Oryzias latipes: one gene and its partner. The protein of the gene in region 2 interacts with the protein of the main gene of each other region in a biochemical or structural test. Links are inferred from orthologs where the notes say so. Each region holds a gene or a part of one and is shown on either strand. Other genes may lie near its edges. The genes, in order: zc3hc1 and ccnb1.

What was found.
Region 1: of the proteins of ccnb1 (region 2) and zc3hc1, one has a biochemical effect on the other in vitro, tested with the Homo sapiens proteins (3 studies listed by BioGRID, with this or other methods). The link is inferred for Oryzias latipes from reciprocal best matches to the Homo sapiens genes CCNB1 and ZC3HC1.

What each region holds. Positions count from the first base shown.
Region 1 is NC_019881.2:14,718,667-14,722,586, reverse strand, and holds the start of zc3hc1 (nuclear-interacting partner of ALK), read right to left. Parts: upstream 2,644-3,920; 5' UTR 2,618-2,643; coding exon 2,484-2,617; intron 2,055-2,483; coding exon 1,952-2,054; intron 1,765-1,951; coding exon 1,614-1,764; intron 1,527-1,613; coding exon 1,443-1,526; intron 1,324-1,442; coding exon 1,196-1,323; intron 1,009-1,195; coding exon 869-1,008; intron 778-868; coding exon 516-777; intron 229-515; coding exon 25-228; intron 1-24. Other genes in the region: klhdc10 (kelch domain-containing protein 10), read left to right, coding at 3,538-3,628. UniProt on the Homo sapiens protein: Required for proper positioning of a substantial amount of TPR at the nuclear basket (NB) through interaction with TPR.
Region 2 is NC_019870.2:25,679,308-25,683,227, reverse strand, and holds the start of ccnb1 (G2/mitotic-specific cyclin-B1), read right to left. Parts: upstream 2,497-3,920; 5' UTR 2,409-2,496; coding exon 2,388-2,408; intron 2,149-2,387; coding exon 2,017-2,148; intron 1,529-2,016; coding exon 1,412-1,528; intron 931-1,411; coding exon 736-930; intron 663-735; coding exon 504-662; intron 367-503; coding exon 130-366; coding exon of another isoform or gene 70-129; exon of another isoform or gene 46-69; coding exon 1-45. UniProt on the Homo sapiens protein: Essential for the control of the cell cycle at the G2/M (mitosis) transition.

The DNA of each region.
Region 1 (3,920 bases), on a different chromosome or scaffold from region 2:
CTAAGAAGTAATGATTGTTCTTACAGGACCACCAACTGTTGAGAAGCACAAGCGTTTGGGAGGATGGAGGCTGGTGGAGCCGTCGGCCCCCGAATTATCTCCATGTCCTCGACTTCGAGTTGCAGGCCTCTTGCCCCTCGTCAGAGGACTTAGCAAGTCATCACTGGGGCTGGGTGAGTCTCTGCTTTTGGCTCGTAATGCAGTGGGGGAGGAGGAGGTCCCCTCAACCTGCAACAGAAAACAAAAATATGAAAAAGTCTGATAAAAAGGAGTTGAAGGATCAAAAGGGTTTTGGTATGGTGGGAGGCAGTTCATTGTGGCTCTTTACATTATATCCTCTAATAAACTAGAGATGACAATGAGGGTAGAATTTCTGTAATCACTTCCTACACCATCAACAGTGAGTTTGTGAAAATCCTTCTCCAAACGGGAGAAGAGGGTCATGTCTACTGAAGCAAATGTGGCATAGAAAAGCCTCAACCTTACCACAGAGCAACAAACACAAGAATGCTTGCCTGGTCGGAGCGTATGGAGTCCTGGCTCCTCAGCTTCATGCGGCATGGAGATGCCGCATGAGTGGACGAGGCAGGGTCTGCCTGGCTGTCGCTGCAGCCCCCTAAGACAGAACCTGTTCCATGAGCAGAGGGTCCTGCAGAGCTTGGTACCGTCTCTGCCTCACCTCCGATTTCTTCCATCTGGTGGAAATTCCACAAACCCACCTTCCGCATGCAATAGGAGCAGGTCAGGATTGGCAGGTTCATGGCACGTAAAGCTGGACTAAGATGAAAGAAATTTAATTTTGGACCCAAATTCCACCAAATAACCTTGTGTTTTAGAAATGCACCTTTTTTACTGAAACAACTCTCACCTTGCTGCCCAACCACAAAGAGAAACGACGCATGCAGCCACCTGAACAGACAATGGTTCAGAGCATGGACTGCATCCCTTTATTTTTAGCTCTTCCTCAATCAGTTGCAGTATATTACTGATGACATCCTCTGTCAAAGACTGGGGGGAAAAAAGACCACAAATAATAGCTGTTATTGTCTTGTTAAAAATAGTTCATATGTTAATAAAGCAATTTCTTTAATGAACCCTTAATGATATCACATTCCCTTGATAATAATTGATGTTTTTATCTAAGTCCTTCTGAAATTTAAGCTGGCACAAGTGTTCTTTAAATAAAGCCCTTTACCATAGACTTCAGCTGCTCTGGCCTCATGGCTGGCAGCTGCTGAGCAAGGAGACAGGCACTCTGGAAACGTTCCAAAAAGGCAGCAAGCAGCGTTGACGGTTCAGAGGCTGGAACAAGCCAGAATCTCTCTGGATAAACAGAAATACTTATATTTATTACGACCATCATGCTGATGGTTAATAAACAGACGGAGTAGTGGATTGTATGTTTGTTGTAAGTTTGCTCCAGACAAAATGGTTGCTTCTACCTGGACATGGAAAGTCAGGCCAAGGACAAAACTTCTCATGCTGAGTCTGTAGTTGTCTCAATATCTCTGCAATGCGGCTTTCATCTATTTAAAAGAACAGAACAGCTTGACATCTCATTTTGGCAGGCCAGCACCATTACCGTCGCCATATTGCTTCAAGTTTGAGCTTACATTTCTTAAAGTCTAACGTTGGTTGTAGTGATGCACAAAGGAAAGCCTGGCAGCTGGAGCACTTCAGCATGTCACAACCAACATTGATCCAACCATATCTGGCACACATCAGAGGAGAAAGTGCACGGGGTTTGCCTGCCCATCTCAAACAGTGACATATTAAGGAAAAGAGGACCCTAAATAATAGGCAGCTTGTGTTAGCAATTACAAATGTGTATTTTGATTATGTTTAAAAAACGGTGCATTTTAACAAATCACATGGAAGCAATGTATATATGTATTTAAAACAAAAAATAAACGTTGTCCATTAATAAATATATAATATGAAGGAAGGATATAGAATAGGATTCCACTCTTGAGAAAAATGCTTCTTTGTTTGTTGCTTCACACGGTGTTTGAGTGTTGTCTTTAACTTCCAGAACTTTTAAGTCCCCTTGTTCACTGAAACAAGACATAAAACATAAGTCCTTTTTACAAAACACAAAATATCCAATGGACCATTTTGTACACAATGTTTTCTGATCAATTTGCTAGACGGAAATAGTTGCTGTGATTCTTGTGGTTATTTTTAGCATACATACATAACTGCAAACTAACTGCTGGACCCCGGCTAACAACAGCTGCAGCATAAGGCTATAAAAACACATTTTTGAATAATTTATTTAATCCACATCATTGCAACCGTATGAGTACAGAAACTCGGGCTCGTTTGTCAAACTCTCAGCTCTGTGCAGACTTGAAAAACCCCTCCAGCAAAACTATGAATACGTTCGAGGTGAGATGCTAAGCTAAGACGTGGCTAACCCAGTCAGCTACCGTCAACTTAGATTTTTCCAAAAAAAAAAATAAACTGGTAGTTTAAAACGCCACCTGTTGGACCCAATCTCCGGTAATGATACTCCTTCGCTGAGGAGTTCACGAACTTTTTCCGGAGATGCAAAAGAAGACTTTAGGTGGTTAGAATTGCCGAGACGGTCCCCGCGACTGCCGCCGATATTCGCCATGGTCGGCTCTGACAAAAATCCCCAGAGAAACACATCCCGGAAAAAAGTTGTTCCGCTTCACCAGAGCCACAAACGCAGTAAACAAACAGGACATTTTTGGTGTAAAATCTTTGTCATATGCAGTTGACCGCTAGATATTTCAACGACGTATAAATGATATTATACAGGTACGTTTTATGTGGATGATTTTTGTAGAACATAGATCACATTGTCAGCAAAAGCTACCAGAACTTTCACAATACGCTAAAATTGTGACTCACTGTTGAACAAAACCAAAATAAAACTAATTTAAATTTAGATCTAATTTAAATGTAACGACGTTTGAGTATTAAAATTTAAATTTAGTGTTTACATTTAAAGACTTAGTGTGAGTGTTTGCAATTTAAAGTGTGAGTGTTTAAATTCAAACACTATATATGTTTACATTTATGTATGAATTTATTAAAATAATATATGCTAAATAAATTAAATGTTTTTATTCAGTAAAAACATTAAATTATTTCTAATTTGATTAATTTACTACAAATTAATTTAATAATTGTATTTGCATTTTTATATTTCTTCATTTTTTATACATATTTTTAAATTATAAGTTTACGTCTACATTCAATAAAATAAAATAAAATAAAATAAAATAAAATAAAATAAAATAAAATAAAATAAAATAAAATAAAATAAAATAAAATAAAATAAAATAAAATAAAATAAAATAAAATATGGCGGCAGTTCCGTTTTCCTGAAGACGCAACGTCCTGGTAACAAGCTCAGCGATTGGTCAAGTGTGTCACTGCCGGGGTGGAAAGAAAAACAGTGAATGGCTTCAAACCTGCCTGAGATGTGAAATGTTTCAGCAGCGTTTTGGCAGACGTGTTTTATATTCGACGTGACATCGAAGAGGACAGGGTTGTGAAGGGGACACGATGTCGGACGCCGAAAGGTTTCACTGTTCAGATCAGCTGAATAAATTCGAGAGACTGATTGGCAGGCCGCCGCACGAAGGGCTGCTAGCAGGTCGGTTCATAACATTAGCAACGATGCTATCAACCCTCTGTTTTGGTTTTTTCTTCGCACTTTTAAACCATTGTTCCGTAAGGAACATTACGTGTATATAATAATGGGTGTTTAATGTATTTTTGTAATTAAATTTATCTAATATATCTCATTTAATTTTATTTTTTTAATGTAATGTATACATTATGTATCTGTATTTAATGCCTTTTTTCCCACTTGTTTTCTTCGATAAAAAGGATGGATTTCTCCATAATGTAAACATTCAGATTTTAAATTGACACATTTACTTTTT
Region 2 (3,920 bases):
GAGCTCCAGCAGGTATTTGGCCAGGGTGTGTTGTTCAGCAGTTACCTGAAGAAAAATAAAATCCCACCTTCACCTCAGCACATGCAGTGGTGGAAGAGAACAGTTTGCCGCACCGACACCGCGCCACACCTCATAGATCTTGGAGGCCCTTCTGAGGAACTGCAGCGGGAGGGGGCGGCCCAGCTGAAACTTCAGCACTCGCAGAATAGTCATTTCCATGTCTCTGATCTGAGCAGTGGTGTAAGCCCTGTCCGTCACGTAGGCAAAGTCTGAGATCTCCGGAGGGTACATCTCCTCGTATTTGGAGGCCAGGAACATGGCGGTCACGCCAACCAGCTGCAGCTGCTTCTTGGGGACTGGATGGTCCTGTTGAAAGGACCGCAGACAAAATAAAAGAAAAATCTCAGCACACAAGTCAGTTAGAGGACATCTGTTATGAAATTATTTTTTTTTATTGAATTATGGAGCACATCTAGTCTGTAGAGGAACACTGACAGACTCACCTGAAGAAAGCGGTCGATTATTCCCACAGTCATGTACATGGTCTCCTGCAGCAGACGGAACTTGAGGCCCACTTGTACCAGCCAGTCAATGAGGATGGCTCGCATGTTTCCGGTGATCTCCTGACCCTCAAGGTAGTTTGGCTTTACGCTCTGCTCCATCTACAGGAGAACAAACGTCTCTTTAGGGAAACGGCACACATCAGGAATGCAGCTTTCCGGGTTTTAGTCCGACCTCAAGCTGACGGAGGTACTTGTAGATGTCCTTAACATATTCACTGCAGAGCATGGGGTTGTCGTAGTCATCTGCATCCACGTCCCTGATGGCCGTGTTGAGGATGACATCTGAAAATGCTTGACAGAGGTCAGCAGACTCACATCCAGAGGTCTCCATGGGGGTGGGGGATGCACGTTCAGCCTGGGCTGGCACCTGTGAGAAGGTCATGTCAAATCATTACACGTCACCCTAGTGGTAGAGCGTCTGCCCCAAGACTGGTAGGCAGAGGGTTCAAAACCAGTGGAGTCACAGCAAAGACTTCGGATGGAACCAAAGCCTCCCTGCTTGATTCAAGTGGACACATCAGAAGGGAGCTGGTGACCTGCCGGTGGGATTTTCTACCTCACAAATAAGCCCTTATCCAAACAAACAGCATTTTTTTTCTCAATTCACAACATTTGAATAAAGTAATCAGAAATGAAATTTCAATCTCATTTTCTTTAGATGAATCTTTTATAAGAAAGAGGCCACAATCAGAGTGGGTCTGTAAGGGGTTGGATTGGGAGTGGTTAACCCACCATATGGCTCCGAAGCACAACCATGCCTGGAGCTCACTGCTGCCCCCAGAGGATGGGTCAACCACGCAGGACAAATGTCCCAACCAGGTGTGTGACAACCAATGACACCAACTCACCTCAGTCACCTGCACTTCAGGTGCTGGTTTAACAGGGACCACAGCAGCTTTTGGTAGCTCGATCTTCTCAGCTTTAGCTGGGATCTTTGTCTTCTTAGCAACCTCCGTCTTGATAGTCTGAAGAAAGAAAGGTCAAACCCAAATACTGCTATGCATTTTACAGAGCTGGGATCTTTTCATTTGAGTTCTTTGCTTCTTGCACAGTTTGGGAAATCTCTACAGCTGCAGGCCAAAGCCACAAGTCCTAGCTGTACAGGTTTTGAAGCTCTGCGCATTGAGCTGATAGTACAGCAGTAACAAGAGTTTCTCTTAACAAATGTGCATTCAAACTCAAGTTGTTGTTTTTTTAGCAAAGATTTAAATTTACAATTGATGGTGTACATTCTTAGACATAGTTCCAGGTTAACTGTGCTCCTCCAACCTGGGATGCATTTTATACTTGACTAAGGGCCCCAGTTCAGCACAGTAGACATTTTCTCATCAGAACAGGCCCAACCCCTCACTTCTACACCAAACTTGCCCCAAAAAAAGGTTAATCACTTTACTTCGATAAGTGGAAAATACATTTATATAGGATTTTTAAAAAAAAAAAAAAAAGATTTTACCTTTTTCGTGACATCTTTGTTAATAACTGCGACGTTTCCGATTTCTCCGAGGGCCGCGCGGGGCTTCTGTGTAGGCCCGGCCACCGAGCACGTCTTTCCGCCCAGTTCGGCCCGGGTGGAGGCCAGTCGGTTCTGCAGCGAGAAAACGGACAAAACAAGGCGCGCTCGAGATAAACCTGCAGTGGTGAAGCAGCACGTTCAATAAATTCAAGCCAACAATATTTGACCTCTAGCTTCCGCTCACATACAGCCACATGACAGTCCAGTCAGAAAACACGTCAAAACATTTAAAACCAGAGAAAGACGCGCTTCCTGAAATCGTTCTTTTCCGGTAAAAACAGAGAGGAACGTGTAACGTGGTTCAGACTTACCCTGGTAACTCTCAGAGCCATGCCTTTGCCTGCTTCTCTTCCACAAACAACCACGAAATTGAAGCGGAGAAGGTGAAGATTCCAACGCACGAGTCGTGGTTTAAATCCTCGCTCGCTGCAAACCGATTGGCTGCGCTGGGCGGCTGCGGCGATTCTGATTGGATAAACGAGTACGTGTCAGATGCGCTCCCAAGACAACTTTGGGTCACGTGATCACGCTCTTCTTAGGTCACTTCCCTTACCCGGATATCTAACTCCGTTCTTCTAGAGCTATTAAAATAAAAACATTTGTAGATAAAAACATACACTACTTTATTGTTTGCATCTAAACAAGGAAAACACTTTTTTAACGCAAAACAAAAAGAAGAAGAATCAAGAGGATCTCAAAAACAATCCTTTACAAAAACAAACAGTACACTGAAGCTTATTTTTTAAGTATACTTGAGCATCATTTTACCAAGCATGCTGCTATAGGTTGGATGTATGTATAGTAGAAAGTACAAAATCTGTTAAGGGTTAACAAAATTTAGTATCCTTAAATGCACTTCAAGTAGGCTAAAAGTGAGGCAGTGGACTTGAAGTTTACTTTTTATATCTATATATTTTAAACTTAGACAGACTGGGCTGGCGACCTGTCCAGGGTGTCCCCTGCCTTTGCCCGTAACATGTGGAAAGGCTTCGGCAGCCCTGTGACCCCAAAAGGTACAAAACGGAAGAAGATAAATGTATATATAGTAAACTTAAAATGTTCCAATTTAGTCTATAGATGTATTCAGTTAGTATATTCCCTACACTACATGTGTATACCGGCTATACTTGTTATGCTCAGTTATACTTAATCAAATAAACTCAAAGTCTACCACTTATTGCTAATAGAATTGAATGTTGCCCTAAAAATGATTTTATTCTGACACTTAATGATTTTCTCAGTTTATTGTCATTTTTTATGTTAAAACATGTTTGAATCCCTCCGTGCAAAAGAATGCATATATATATATCTTTTTCTTTTTACAAAAAAGCTCATTAGTCCTGTATTCGCTACTAAAGTAGAACAGTGGTGTAGTGATTTGTTCTTTTGCCTCAGTAGGGCCTGGCTCACATCCCAGCCGGGTCTTTTCTGAGTCAAGTTTACAAGTTTACCCCAAGCATGTGTGGGTTTTATCCTGGCACTCAGGCATGTGCAAACATATTTAGGTTAATTGATGATTCACAATGTCTGTGACTGTGTGGCCCTGCAATGGACTGGTAACCCATCTGGAGTGTGTACAGCCTTCACCAAAGGATCCAGTGACCTCAAAGAGGATCAGCAGGTTTGAAATTGATTTTCTTTTTCTCCTTTTAATTTGAAAACACCTTCTAGTGCTGAAGCCTTTCACACAAAATGCATGCTGTCAACACATTTTTAAATGTTTTCATGCAGCTCAATCATTTTCTGCTGCAACGAAAAACTAATACAGCTCTGATCATTTTTAAGTTATCACCTCTGAACATGACCAAAAACAACACAGCGAACAGTCATGTGTTCTTAACTCC